Linked DNA regions of Mus musculus: regions 2 and 3 are each reported to be linked to region 1. Evidence: microRNA targets listed by miRTarBase, many of them from high-throughput screens and not tested one by one. Region 1 holds a microRNA gene; each other region holds the end of a gene's coding sequence. Distances are from middle to middle.
The links. The annotated mature microRNA mmu-miR-466k reads UGUGUGUGUACAUGUACAUGUGA and lies in region 1 at 2,584-2,606, opposite strand. An mRNA with a match to its seed (bases 2 to 7 or 8) in the 3' UTR can be bound and repressed. Matches are read on the target gene's strand: a 7mer-m8 pairs with bases 2 to 8, a 7mer-A1 pairs with bases 2 to 7 and ends in A, and an 8mer does both.

Region 1 (4,635 bases):
TTGCCATGTGACTCCCCTGCCACAGCCTCACCGTAGTACTGTTGTACTGTCTGCTGCTTGACCTTGACTTAGTCACCACACAGGATGGGCGTGGTCTTGACCCCTATGGAAGATTGGCAGGCGCCTATGCCATTGGGTTTGCTGGCCTCGGGTGCTGCTATTGTAAACTGCTCCTCCTACTCTGCTCTCAGGCCCCGGACCGAGGCTGTGAAGGTCAGCTGCCCTTATCCATGCACTACTGGGCAGTGGAAACAACAGGCTTCTTGGTGGGCACTACTGGATGTTTGTGGTTGCCATGCAGCAACTGATGACTGGTACAGACTCCAAAGCACTCTCGAGGGCCCACCTCGTGGCATTCTCTCTAATGGCTTGTTTTTGGATCCTCTTGCCCTTACTGATTACATGATAGCAGCTGTTCCTGCCTTGGGGCTTCGTATTGGCTGTGTCCTCTACTGTATTTTCTTCTGTGGGTCACTGTCGGTGCTAAATGCAGTGAAATGAACTAGCGAGACAGTGGGCCCTGGCAAGGGCAGAAGGAAACAGTGACATGGGGTGACCTGAGCGGTGGCATTGTGCAGACAACTGGAGGAGGAGAGAGGACAGCTCACACATATCAGTCTGGGTGGAGGGAAAGAGAGCTAGAGGCCAGCTGGATCTGGTGTGCTCTCTCTCTCTCTCTCTCTGTTTCTTCCCGAATCAGTGGCTTTAGATACACCATCGCATTATCTAAAACCTCCCTCCTTCCCTCCTCATCCTGCCTGCTCCCCCATCTTCTTAATTGGGGTCAATCTTTCCAAGTCTCTCAGCTCAAGGGAGGAAGTAGTATCTGCTGTAGCAGATGGTCCTACATTCTGGTGACATCCTAGCTTTCCAGGTATCCCTTGGAAACAATCTTGAGTTTGTAGCCTCCCAACAATATGAAAAGTTAGACTTAGAAAAAAAAATGTTTAAAAGGAAGTAAATAAATATTTTTTCCTCTGCTATTCATATAAATATTCTGAGATACAATAATAATAATAATAATAATAATAATAGCCTGAAAATACCCTGGGTGTGACCAGTTAGTTGAGAGCTGGCAGTGTGTGTGTGCCCTGTCAGCTGCAGGGTGATAGCTAGGATTTAATTGCCCTTCCTAAGATGCAGCTCAGTAGAGTGAGGTGAACTAGAGTCTTTCTATATACATGTCTCTGAGGACAAGACTCACAACAGCTTCCACGTTACCCAGGACCCAGTTGGACCGTGGACACTCAGGCTTCACCACAGACCTCCTGGCCTTATTTCCTGGGGGTTGGTGTGCACAATCAGCTCCAGGAGAGCCAATCAAGTCCTTGTGGATGTCATGTCTCAGTGTCCTCTTTATTAGGATGTCACAGGTAAATTCCTGTGGCTGGTGCCAAGACAAACTGCCTAGAACATTTTATTTGCTGGCTTGCTCTGATTAAAGTGGAGAACGCACTGCACTTTCTCGTTTGTGGTCACCTGCTAAATCTTTACCTTATTTCTGGTGTTGCCTAACACAGCGTCTCATACACAGCAGAAGAGAAAGAGTCACTAAATGAATGAATGAATCTATTTCCTATTTCCTTCGAAATTTGAGCCTCTGCACAGGCTGAGATGTACTGGCGTGCTTTGTGTTGTTGTTGGAGGTGGAATCTGGGGTCTTGTATATGCTGGGCAAGTGTTTCATCATTGAGCTATAACCCAAGAGCTAAAAAACTTGTTCCGGTGGCATTAGGGTAGCAGACAATTTTTGGGGAAATGAAGTTTGTTTCCAGAAGGCCTAGGGCTGTGGAATCCTGGGTATAATGGATGCTTAGAAGAGAAGAGATGACTTCAGGTCTCAAGGACTGAGGACATGTCCCTAGTTTTCAGTGACTGGCTTTTATACCACCAGAAGCTCTGCACACTCTGTACTGACCCTTTTCCTGTGAACTTCCCTGTGTAACATTTGTTCCTCTGTTTTATCAGCTGAATGATGGAACCTCACAGCCAAGAACTTTGAGAGGTCAAAAGGACCTGGCTGCTTCCTGCAGGTGGCAATGGCTTCCTTTCTTCTTCAGCCTTTAGACAGTTTGGATTTCAAATTATTCCATCACTTTCTAGAACATTCCAGATCCAAGCTCTCCTCTCCTATCACAGATGTATTCTGCAGCGCTGGGCCTCTCTACTGCATGTGGTTGTGGGAGAAGAAAGCCGCTGAGGTAGTTGAAGCCATGTTTAGCTTTTAGTTCTGTGAGGCAAGAGGGCCAGGACAGAGCATTTCCCCTTCCCTGTCAAGATATCAGCACCTGCTTGGGAAGCCAGAAGATGGAGGAGTAAAAAAGCTCCTGTTCCTCGGGGGCTTGCAGGTAAGGTCACGGCCAGTGCAGAGGTGCCAGTCTTCTCCTGCCCTATAAGGCTGCTGCTACCTGTGAAAGATCAGTGCAGTTGCTTACCTGTCACCTAGGCCAGATGGAGACACAGCCATCGGAGTCACAATTAGTAACACCTACTCACCATACACACACATGCACATGCACACATATACACATATATTCACATACTCACACACATGCACATGTACAAACATATACACACACATACTCACATGTACATGTACACACACACACACACACACACATATATATGTATATACACACCTGCACACACACACACACACACACACACACACACACACATATCAATAGAGAACATGCATATACACGTACATGCACTCATGCACATGCACACCCATGTGTATATGCACACACATACATACACATATACACATATGCATGCACACACACACATACACTTATTTCTATAGGAGGGTGTACATGAATGTATATCACATGCACACATGTATATGTGTGTGAATATAGGTGAATATACAGCCCCTCCCATCCTGGAAACTAGCACATTCATATAAGACACCATAATACAGCTTTTCAATATTTTCTTTTCTGTAAGAAAGTAGGGAATTGACTGAAGTCCAGGGCTGTTGCAGTTCAGAAGTTCGGCTCTTTATCTAAATGTGGCCCTGAGAGTTAGGCAGCAGATGGAGGTAACATGGCAGCTTCCAGGGCTTGGAGTCAATGACTTCAATGAACAAAAACAGACACTTTCTTTTACTCGCTCCATTGAGAACATGACCACACATTCCTGGCTCACAGGAGACCCCTAAATCTGGAGGCCACTCCACGATGTCTCCTCATCCTTAAAGTAGAAAGTGGGACTGCGGAATCTGTCATGTGCTCCATCTTGGGCCACTGATGGGGTCTGTGTGAGATGAGATCTGATTTGCCTCGGTTATTCTGGGATGCACATTGGCTACTCTGCCCACTTCATCCATTCTGAGCTACTACCAATCTCCATCCTTACAGGCAGCAGCCAATTTGAAACGTACAGTTGTATACTCCCACTTCAGGTTACTTTTGCCAACACATATTACCTTATGTTTATTTGAGTTAAGTTTCGTCTGCCTGCAGGCTGCACAATCCCCCAAAGTGTTCCGATGCACCTGGAATTTCTTGCAAATCTTCTCTGTTTTTATTAGCCACAACAGTTTGGAACTAGTTGAAACCTCTGGGAAGAGATTAGACAACAATTACTGCCCGTTGCTCATGTAATGTCTGGCCAGGTACATGAGCCAGCAGGCCTTGCTTGGCGGGGTGGGGGTGGGTGGGCATGATAGCATTTCTATCCACTGGTCTGTCTTTTGAACTCTCAACTCTGGACAGGTACCAGGGAGCCAGCCTATCCTTGGGGTGTATGTCTACACAGGGGCATAGAGCTGTCTTATTTACAGGTTTTAGAAGCTACTGCTCTGGAGCCAAGGGAATGTGTGTTATCAAGGCCCACTCTGTCTGGTCCCCTTGGATATTACAGAAAGAAGGGACAGAAGAAGAGAGCCGAGGGAGGGGAAGGAAGCTTGCAGCACTGCTCGCTATGCTGGGTTCTGTAAAATCAGGTGATTAGACATGGGAGGAGGAAGGACAGAAGTATCACCCTTCGGACTCCTCTGGAGAGGCTGAGACATCACCATGGTCACATCCTGGAATCTGGGAATGAGGACTGGTTGAGGCTGGAAGCCACTGTCCTCAAGACCAGGTAGGACATCAAGGACCAGTTCCACGAGCCAGGATGGAGGAGGTGAAGCGGGCTGCTGCTTGCGGAAAGCAGCTTCTGTGAGCAAGGCTGGTGTGTGGGCAGCAGCTTAGGCTGAACGGATCCCAGAGCGTTCCAGCGAGCTAATCTTGTCAGCCTCAAGCTGTTCCACAGACAGTGGGTGTGAATCCAAAGCCATCTTAGATGCTCAGCTCTCAAATGTTTCTTTTAAGAAAATAAAAAAAGAGAGATTGAAGGTACACCAGACCCAAATGGGCCAGTTACCTGGGAAGGTTAGACTTGTGAGCTGTGAAGTGCAAGTATGCAGATGTTAGAGACGATGGGATGAGATGTGTGTATGGGGGTGGATGTCTCTTCTCTGTCAGCTATATCCCTGGATGAGAGTGTCTGTCTCCTTCTGCCTCAAGGATACTGTATATATCTGCTCCACGTGTAGAAGCAGAAGTCAGTGGTATCCAGTCTCCAGCCCTGGACTCGTCTTCTCTCCTGTTGTCTCTGCTTTCATAGTCAGTTGACTGTGCCTGCTTA
Region 2 (4,635 bases), 18 Mb from region 1:
GCAGAAATGCACCCTTCCCTCCACACTGAGGACCACTCACAGGCACAGCATTCTAGGGACCATGCAGCAGCGTGAACTAAACAGAAGTCACGGTATTCACAACACACAGGCCATAGTGTCTCTCTTACCCTGTTAATTAACCTGTTGACTGACTTTGCCGATCAAGATCCATGAACTCCACAGTTATGTGCATTTAAAGGTGCCTTAACTTGGTCCTTAAGAAATGTGCTGAAGAGTGCCTGAGTGTGATTCTTGGCTCCACTTTGGACAAATTAGAACCTTCTAGTATGTATGGAACTGTAAAGAACTGAAGCGGGGATGCTGTGTCAGCTGACACAGAAAACCCCTTAGTATAAGGAAGTAACCATTGCAGGACCCCCTGGACTTCGATTCTGCAGCTGTTTTCTATGTTTTCTCCTAGCACCACCCCTCCCCCACCCCCTTCCCTGGTCAACTTTTAGATTCTCAAATAACACAGCCCTTTCTGTGCTGTATCCTACACTTACATCTGATGTAACACACTGCATCAAAATTATCTGCACAACATTTTGTTTAGTTTTTTGAGACAGGGTCTCTTGTAGCCCAGGCTGGTTTTGAATTTACTATGTAGCCAAGAATGACCTTGGATTTCTGCTCTTCCTGCTTCTGCTCCAAATTCTGGGATTACAGGCATGTGCCACCATGCCCAATTTATCTGCTGCTATCGGGCAGGCAGCATAGAGGGGAATAGCGCTGCTATATCCCACCCCTCTGTAATATCCCTTTACCACTCTTCTCATTTTAAAGTCGGTTTGTTTTTAACTCCTAGTGAAATAATTTGCACAGAACATCATACACAATTTATCTGTTTGTGTGTTGTAGGTCAGAAGGTAATTTTTAGAAGTTGGTTCTCTCCTTCCCTCATGTGGGTTCTGAGGAATTGAACTCAGGCCATCTGACTTCATGGTAAGCACTTAGACCTGCTGAGCCATCTCCTAGCCCTAACAGACATGTTCTTAAACCGGTACTGCCGTTTTCTGGAATGATTATTAAGATGTAAATTCCAGATTCCATCCATAAATTTCTATTTCATTAGGTGCATTTTAAGAAACATGGAAATAGACTTCAGTGGTAAATTATACATTCAGGACTTCTGCAATGAATAGGTTGTTAATGTGCTTTTCAAAGGTTTATACTGCTGAATATATTGAATAATTGCAAGCTGCTTATGACATCTATGTCATGAACACTTGCCATGGTTGCTATGTATGTGAATATGTGAAAAAAATCTCCTATACTTCTTTTTGCTTTTTTCAAGACAGGGTCTCCCTGTGTAGTCTCCTGGGACTCACTAGGTAAACCTGCATGTCCTCGAATTCAAGAGATGTGCCTCTGCCTTCCAAGTGCTGGGATTGCAGGTGTACATCGCCACTGCTCAGCTAAACTTCCTTTTTTTTTCCAGCTCAACTTCTTAGACTCATTTCTCAGTAAAATGAGCAAATCTTCTCAAAAAGGTTTTTATTAGTTAATATAATTTCATACTAAAATTTTATACACTAAATACTTCCACCCATTGCAAGAGATATTAGCATCTTCACACAAGTGTGAAACATTCTTTCTCCATTCAATGTGCTAGCTCTGCAATGCCTTCACAGCACTAACACCAGGCAGAATTTATACGACACAGGGCACCGAAAGCTTGCTCTACCCTCAGGACTGCAATGGAGAGATTCCTCTGAAAGCTAGATGCAAAGACCTTTGTAGTGAGTGCTACGGGAACAGAAGGCAGATAAAGAAAGGGACACCATGCTCACTGCTGAAATAGACTGACTGATAATGCTCTCACTGTGATGGGACCTGCTGTGACAGCTGACAAGTGGTAAAGGAACCCACCCCTGAATGGGTTTGTGGAGTACACACTTGGGGCCCTTAGGGGAAACATCAAGGGGAGCAGCTGGAGTGAAAGTTAACATGGGAACAAAAACCAAAGTCCATCTGGGCAAACAGTGCAAAAGGAATTATTTATAAACCTGACATATGAGCAAACCAAGATGAGAAGGAACTGACAGGGAGCTATTAGAATCTCAGGTTGTTCTTGATTGCCTGAATGCATGGCATCAGGAATGTGGTAACTTTCTGTGAGTAATAAAATGCTTCCATGAGAAAACCCAGCAGATGGAAAGACAGCAAAGTACTGATGCCGGTCTAAACCATCCCAGTGGTGCTGCTCTGCACAGCACAGCACAGCACAGCTGTGTGTCCATGAAAGTGCCTAGGAGCTAGGAACCTGTGAGTGAGGTATGTGTGTGTGTGTGTGTGTGTGTGTGTGTGTGTGTGTGTATGTGTATGTCTCATACAAGGCAACTACCTAAGCCGAAGACTCCTTAGGCAGACAGAATGGAAAACTACTTGGTCAAATAAATAAAAGCTATTTTTGGCATTTAAGTCCAATGTACATGTACAGTCATGTACATCTAATAGCTCCCTGTGCATGATGGGGCAGGCCCAAGTTCCTCAGCACTCTCTGAATGACTGTGGATCCTTGAGGAGGAGGAGGAGCAACGCGAACCCGGCTTACTTGTTTTCAAGCGTATTTCCTGGGGACTAATAGATTCTCTCAAATTAAGAGCAAAGACACCTGACCACAAAGTGCCAACTCCTAGCACCGGAGAGGATCAAACCCCATGGATGAGCGACGTCACTCAGAGACTCTGCCAATCTGCTTCTTTGAAGTCATGCTACTTTTACAAGTGGAAGAAAAAAAAAATCTAGGTTTACACCAAATATGTATTTTTAAAAAGTTAAATCTTTGAAAAACTCTTAGAAGGAATTTTTATAATCCTATATAAAATAAAATCCTGGCTTATAATAAAAGTGTTCAGTGTTTCCAAGCTGTGAAAAACAACATTGAACTGCAGGTAACAGTTTATAGAGATTCCGGACTAGAGTGACAAATGTCATCTCTGTCCCAGCAATGGGGGACTTGTCTAGTTTCACTAGTACACCCCAAACTAGTTAGTGGACAATGAATACCAAGTGGCAATTCTAAACTGCCACCCCATACCTCTACCCAACACTAAGTCAAGTCTGCGGCAGGACTCTTGGACACGGCAGGAGAGGAGGGCACGGCTTCTCGCTCTGACGGGCAAGCTGTAGCCAGCCTTCGGAAGTCCAGTTACTTGATGGTCTGAGAGGCAGGAGCCACAGAGCTTTCTTTTCCAACCTGCAGAGATTCACTGCTGATGGACAGTAACTCTCGAAGTTCCTTATTTTCAAGCTGGGGAGAAAAGATATTTCCTGTGTTTTAATTGTTAAACTATGTCAGAACATACTATTTTGGCCCAGAAAGAGGAAAAAAAAATTTTTTTTTGGCTTTTCTTTTTTAAGATTTATTTATTATTATACATAAGTACACTGTAGCTGTCTTCAGATGTGCCAGAAGAGGGCATCAGATCTCATTATGGGTGGTTGTGAGCCACCATGTGGTTGCTGGAATTTGAACTCAGGACCTTCGGAAGAGCGGTCAAGTGCTCCTATCTGCTGAGCCATCTCACCAGCCCTTTTTTTGGTTTTTCGAGACAGGGTTTCTCTGTATAGCCCTGGCTGTCCTGGAACTCACTCTGTAGACCAGGTTGGCCTTGAACTCAGAAATCCACCTGCCTCTGCCTTTCAAGTGCTGGGATTAAAGGTGTGCGTCACCATTGCTCGCTTAAAAAATTGTTTTTTAAAGACAAAGTCCTACTGAGTGGAGTTTGCTGGCCTAGAAATTGATATGCAGATCACACTGACCTTAAACAGATACCTGCCTGACCTTGCCTCCAGATTACTAGAGGTATGCTCTGCCACACCTGGACTTTAAACGATTAAGCCTTTTCATTTTAGATTTATTTCAATATCTTATGTGTATGAATGTTTTACCTCCATGGATGTCTGTGCATCATGTGCATAGCTGGTACCCTGGAAGGTCAGAAGAGGGCACTGTTGGTCTGGGACTAGAGTTACATAGGTCGTGAGTCACCACCATATGGGTGCTAGGAATCAAACCAGATCCTCTGTAAGAGCTACAAGGGCTTTTAACCACTAAGCCATCTCTCTGTCCCTAATTTAATTACTAATTTTGATAATTGACACCTATCACTTTCTTTTTTAGCTAAGGATAGGCTACACTCTATCCTTATCCTTTTTGTAGAAAATTATTGTCTATTTTGAGATAGGGTCTTATGTAGTAGGTGAGGTGAGGCCTGGCTTGGAACTCCTGACCCTTCTGTTTCTAAGTCCTGGAATTACAGGTGTGTGTTGCCATGTCCAGATCTTTACGGACACCAAGATAAACTACAGCATTTCCAGCTTCACCAAGAGGTTGAACAAATCCTCTACCATATAAACGGCTTCTCAGTTCTCTTGATTTATTTTTTACTTATGTGTATGTATTGTTTTGCATGCACTTATGTACGAGCACCATCTGAGTGCCTAGTGCCCTTGGAGGCCAGAAGAGGGCATCAGATCCCCTGGAACTGGAGTTACAGATGGTTGTGAGCCACAATGTGGCTGCTGGGAACTGGGTCCTCTGCAAGAGTTGTACGTACTCTTAACTTCTGAGCTATCTCTTCAGTCATAGTATTCTTAATCTTTCTTCTAGCACTTATATACCATTCT
Region 3 (4,635 bases), not on the chromosome of region 1:
TCTCGCCCCCCCCCTCCCCCACATACTCTACTAACTAAAGGAGTTTGACTTCATTATCCTTGTAGGTTTTCAGGTATGTGGTGTTTGCTTGCGCATGTGCACATGTATACACCACACATGAACACCTTACTCCCTGGATTGTGGCTGCCCCATCACCTCACTGCATTCTCTCTGTCTCCTCGCAGCGGACAAGGAAGCTGATGAGTATTACATGAGAAGGAGGCACCTGCCAGACCTTGCAGCCCGTGGTACCCTCCCCCTCAATGTCATCCAGATGTCTCAACAGAAGCCACTTCCTCGAGAACGGCCACGCAGGCCCATCAGGGCCATGTCCCAGGACAGGGTCTTGTCTCCACGTCGGGGATTGCCAGATGAATTCGGCATGCCCTATGACCGCATCTTGTCTGATGAACAGCTGCTCTCCACAGAGCGCCTGCACTCCCAGGACCCGTTGCTGTCCCCAGAGAGGACAGCCTTCCCGGAGCAGTCGCTGTCGCGGGCCATCTCGCATACGGACGTCTTTGTGTCCACGCCAGTGCTGGACCGCTACCGCATGACCAAGATGCACTCCCATCCCAGTGCCTCCAATAACTCCTATGCCACCCTGGGCCAGAGCCAGACAGCAGCCAAGCGCCACGCCTTTGCCTCTCGCAGACACAACACGGTGGAGCAGTTACACTATATCCCAGGCCATCACACCTGCTACACAGCCAGCAAGACTGAAGTGACCGTGTGACCAACAATGTGGCCAGGGCTGCTTGGCAGAGTCAGGGCAGGACAGAGCAGAGTAGGGCAGGGGCGAGGAGCATCCCGCCTTGCTCTCCTCCCCTCCCTGGATCCCCCCATTAAAGCTGGAGGTGGGCTGCCTTTGTCCAGAAAGCCATACCCCCAGGGAGATGGCACCAAATGCCTGGTCCAACAAGCACGGACCTAGGCTCTTTAAAGCTCTTTCTCTCCCAGTAGACTTCCCCTGTAGATGAGAAGTGTAGTGAGGTTCAAGTCTTTCGAACACCTACACCACTCCCTCAGTCCCTGCCCCGCCCCTTCCTGGGGACTCAGCTGCGGGTTCTGCCAACCAGTGGACCCTCTCCTGAAGGTAATCGGAAGCTGCCTGAGTTTGAACAGCTAGCTGGCTAGAGGGTGCAGTCAGTGGGCTGACCGAATAGGCTACTCGGTCTTCTTCCTTTATCTACAACTGCATCGCAGATAATCTCTTAGTGCCTAAAAACTGCCTGCTCGCTCTCAGCCAGAGAGCTGCTGTGTCCATAAGCACAATATGATTCTCTTCCGCCTGCTGGAACTCTGGTCTCTACCGAGTGGCCCTTCCCTCGCTGAGCCCTGCAGCCCAACAACGGGGAGGGGTCCCTTCCTGCAGCTGCTTGGTTGCCCCTGCCTCTGCTGTGGGGACTCTGTTCTCCCAGCATTCACTGTTTCTCCTCAAAGCTCTCTGGGGTTTAAGCTCTTGCCCCCAAGAGGGGGCATTAGCCCTTGCCCTCCAGAGAGGAGTAGCGACAGGTTGCCAGGACTTTAGAGGTGCCTCGGCAACCGCCTGATTGTCTCCTTACTTCCTCCAGGCCTCAGGTCTGAACTAGGACCTCCTCTCAGGCCTGCCTTCTTCACCTGAGCTCTGCTCCCAGGAGGCACCTGCGGTGGGCAGAGAGCTAGGGTCGGGAGGACCACTGTGATGCCCAGGGTCTCAGGGGCTCACCATTTCCATTTTCTAGGGCTCTGCCTGTCCCCCCATCCATGAGCCTCAGGCAGAAGTTTCCAGACACAGACAGAAGAAGCTTAGCCCTCAAAAAAGCAGGAACCCTCTGAGGTGGTCATGCTAGACCCTTCCCAGTCCTTTCCATCATCTTTGCCCACACCACCACCCCTTTTCTGTTTAGAACCCTTTCTTTCTCCCTCTGTTCTCTCCCAGACCTATCTCCCACCTTGCTGTCTGCAGCTCCATTACTTTTCTCAGTCAGTGGATCCAAGGGACCAAGATCCATTGGCAGATGCAAATAAATAATGGTGTCCCAGGATGTTGCTCTGGGGACTGTTTTGAGCTTTCTTCCTTGCAGGAATGCTTGGGCATATGGCAGAGGCATCTTCAGCTCTGTGAAAGACCCCATTGCCAGCCCAGCTCAGCCCCATCTTTGCCTCCAACCTGAAGGGGGACAAGATGTAACCAGCTACTGATCCAAGATCAGAAGGAAGAAGACAATGAGACAAAACACACACACACACACACACACACACACACACACACACACTTCTGAGGGCCAGAGCACCTCTCTGGGACTGGGGAGAATCAGTCCAGAATGTCTTGTGGAGAGATAAAACCATCACTTACCAGACTCCAGCAGCAATGCCCTTACATCAGATTTTATACCCCTGCCCCCAGTTCTGCATGGATAACCCTTAAAAGTGAGATGGTGAGAAGCTTGCATTCACTCTGGTCATCTTTAATCCAGCCAAGTCTAGAGAGCCACAGAGAAGCCAGAGGACTGCTTTCCCTTCCTACTTTCAAGAGCTGTAGGTTCTCCTGAGCCCCTTCCCAGAATCCCCCCCCTCCATGAGCAGCTATGTTCTGCATAACCCAGAAGGATTGAAACTGGGGTTTCTAAAGGTAGTCCTTAGCCTCCCCACTGAGGGGGTGTCCCTGGCACTATGTGGCCATTCTGCTTTGCTCCCTGCAAATACAAACCTTCTTAAGGGCTGGTCCCCATTGGGTCTATGAGCATTTGTTGCAGAAGGTAAGGCTCACAGGAAGAGAGGAACTCAATCCAAATAGAGAATGGCTCACTTTCAGAAGCAAAGGCGTGTCTGACAGCTGGCCCCCAGCCCAGCACCTTGTAACTCTCCTTAACCCTTAGCCAGTCTCTTTGAAGGCCATGTGCTGGTGCAAAGGGGGAAGGGCAAGACTGTGGTGGGCAAGAATCCCCTCCCATGTGTTTGTACATCCCATGGAAAATCTTTCAGACACCAAGTTTTGCAGCCTTTGGGGAGCAAGACCTTATCCCAGGCTCTTCCCCCAGCCTTGGCTCTCACAATGTGTCTGTCTGTCTAGCTTCTTGTCTGTCTGTCTGTCTGTCTGTCTGTCTGTCTCAGGGGCTGTTTGATAAGTTGTTTTCCAAACTATTTCTCATCCCTGCCTTATCACCATCTGGTATAAAGTACCTGGCATCAGTTACATCAGAAAATTCTAATGTAATGCTTGCTTCTCCTGAAGGCTTTTCTTGTGCTTCATCCTTGGAAGGAAAACAATAACAAATATAACTCTACAAACTATGTTAATCCAGTCCCCCCTCCAAACTCCAGAAAACTGTGTCTTAACTGGGACATGGAAAAAACAGTAACCAACCCCCATCTTCAGTTTTGCATGACTCCATTTCAATTACCTGTAGACAACCATGATCCAGAAATATTTATATTTGTCTTAACTCTTTTGAGAGAGTCCACAATTACATAGCTTTTATTACAGTATATTCTTATAACTTGCCCTACTTTATTATTGTCAATCTCTTTCTGTGCCTAATTTTCAAATTAAACTTTATTGTATGTATACGAAGAAAAACACAATACCTATATAGAGAGTGTGGGACTATGTGTGGTTTCGAGCACCCAATGGGATTGTTGGAGCTTATCCCTCAGTGATAAGGGAAAACCACTAGATCCCCTCAACTCATCTGTCACTCCAGAACCAGCTAGCTCTGTTGCTATATGAAGTCACTTGAGAGTGTCTGGGGCTGGAACCCTGGTCACTGCTTCTAACCCAAGCAGGCTGGTATCCTCTGTCACATAGGAGGGGCACGGACCCCTTGTGATAAACACTCATATCCCAAGGAAACCCAAGACTTCCTTCTGCATGTCTTCACTGCCCTGGACTTAGGTATGTATAGGTCTCACTTACCCCAAGTATTCTTCCTGAAGATCTCTTACCACACCCATCCATCACCACTCCTTTCTTACCCCCTCCAGTGAACTCTTGGCTGCATATATTCATGAGCCACAAAAGCTTGCCAATAATTCCTTAACCTCCTAAGTGGACTTTGACCGTTAGAATTCCCCAGTGTCTTAGGCAATGTGTTTCCCTTGAGAAGGTCCAGTCCTTACCTTACTGAAATCTCTCCCCTTCTTTATATTCTTATTTCTGTCTTAACCTCCTATGCCAGTTTCCTCTTGCCTTCCTCTCATTTCTTTCTTCAATCATCCAGCTTCCTCCAGCCCTGATTCCTTTTACCTGGGCCTGCTTAAATCTCTAGTTTTAAGAATTAGAGTTCTTGGTGTAAACTGTGAAGACTCTGGCATTCTGTGTTCAAGTCCTCTGTTTGCTTCATTGGTTTGTTATACTTCCTCACATGGGAAATGATGTCCCAAGGTGTGAGATCATTGGGCTCCCCACATCCCTATGATCTCTAAAAGGGAAGGGAGAGAGCTGCCTGATTAGAGGTGTCATGGCCAAAAGATCAGCTTTGGCTCCTGAGACTACCCGACTCAAGAAGCTCTTGACTAAGACTGCTACTAGCCCAGAGTCTTCTGCTCTGGCCAAAGATTCATCCCCTTTGATGCTTGTAGCTCTTGCTTATACTTCAACTCTTGCTCTCGTAGATATCAGAGCTTTCCCTTCATCCCAAAGACTTGAGGACC

Region 2: the mRNA of Sike1 is a reported target of mmu-miR-466k. Seed matches in the 3' UTR shown: 7mer-A1 at 2,313-2,319, 8mer at 2,311-2,318, 8mer at 2,309-2,316, 8mer at 2,307-2,314, 8mer at 2,305-2,312, 8mer at 2,303-2,310 and 12 more.
Region 3: miRTarBase lists Shisa6 as a target of mmu-miR-466k. Seed matches in the 3' UTR shown: 7mer-A1 at 2,219-2,225, 8mer at 2,220-2,227, 8mer at 2,222-2,229, 8mer at 2,224-2,231, 8mer at 2,226-2,233, 8mer at 2,228-2,235 and 12 more.

What each region holds. Positions count from the first base shown.
Region 1 is chr3:85,465,367-85,470,001 of GRCm38, reverse strand. Mir466k (microRNA 466k) reads right to left here and starts at 2,625; the gene lies at 2,504-2,625. The region is part of intron 1 of Gm31419 (a long non-coding RNA gene); the gene reads left to right.
Region 2 is chr3:103,000,329-103,004,963 of GRCm38, reverse strand. It overlaps Sike1 (suppressor of IKBKE 1), which reads right to left. Exons shown (of 5, transcript NM_025679.3): 5 at 1,050-3,256. The coding sequence ends at 3,155. Among named protein-coding and RNA genes, the nearest start is that of Sike1, 6.9 kb to the right of the region's middle.
Region 3 is chr11:66,213,573-66,218,207 of GRCm38, reverse strand. Shisa6 (shisa family member 6) reads left to right here. Exons shown (of 5, transcript NM_001034874.3): 5 at 186-4,635. The coding sequence ends at 736. The region is part of intron 1 of Gm12296 (predicted gene 12296); the gene reads right to left. Among named protein-coding and RNA genes, the nearest start is that of Dnah9, 47 kb to the right of the region's middle.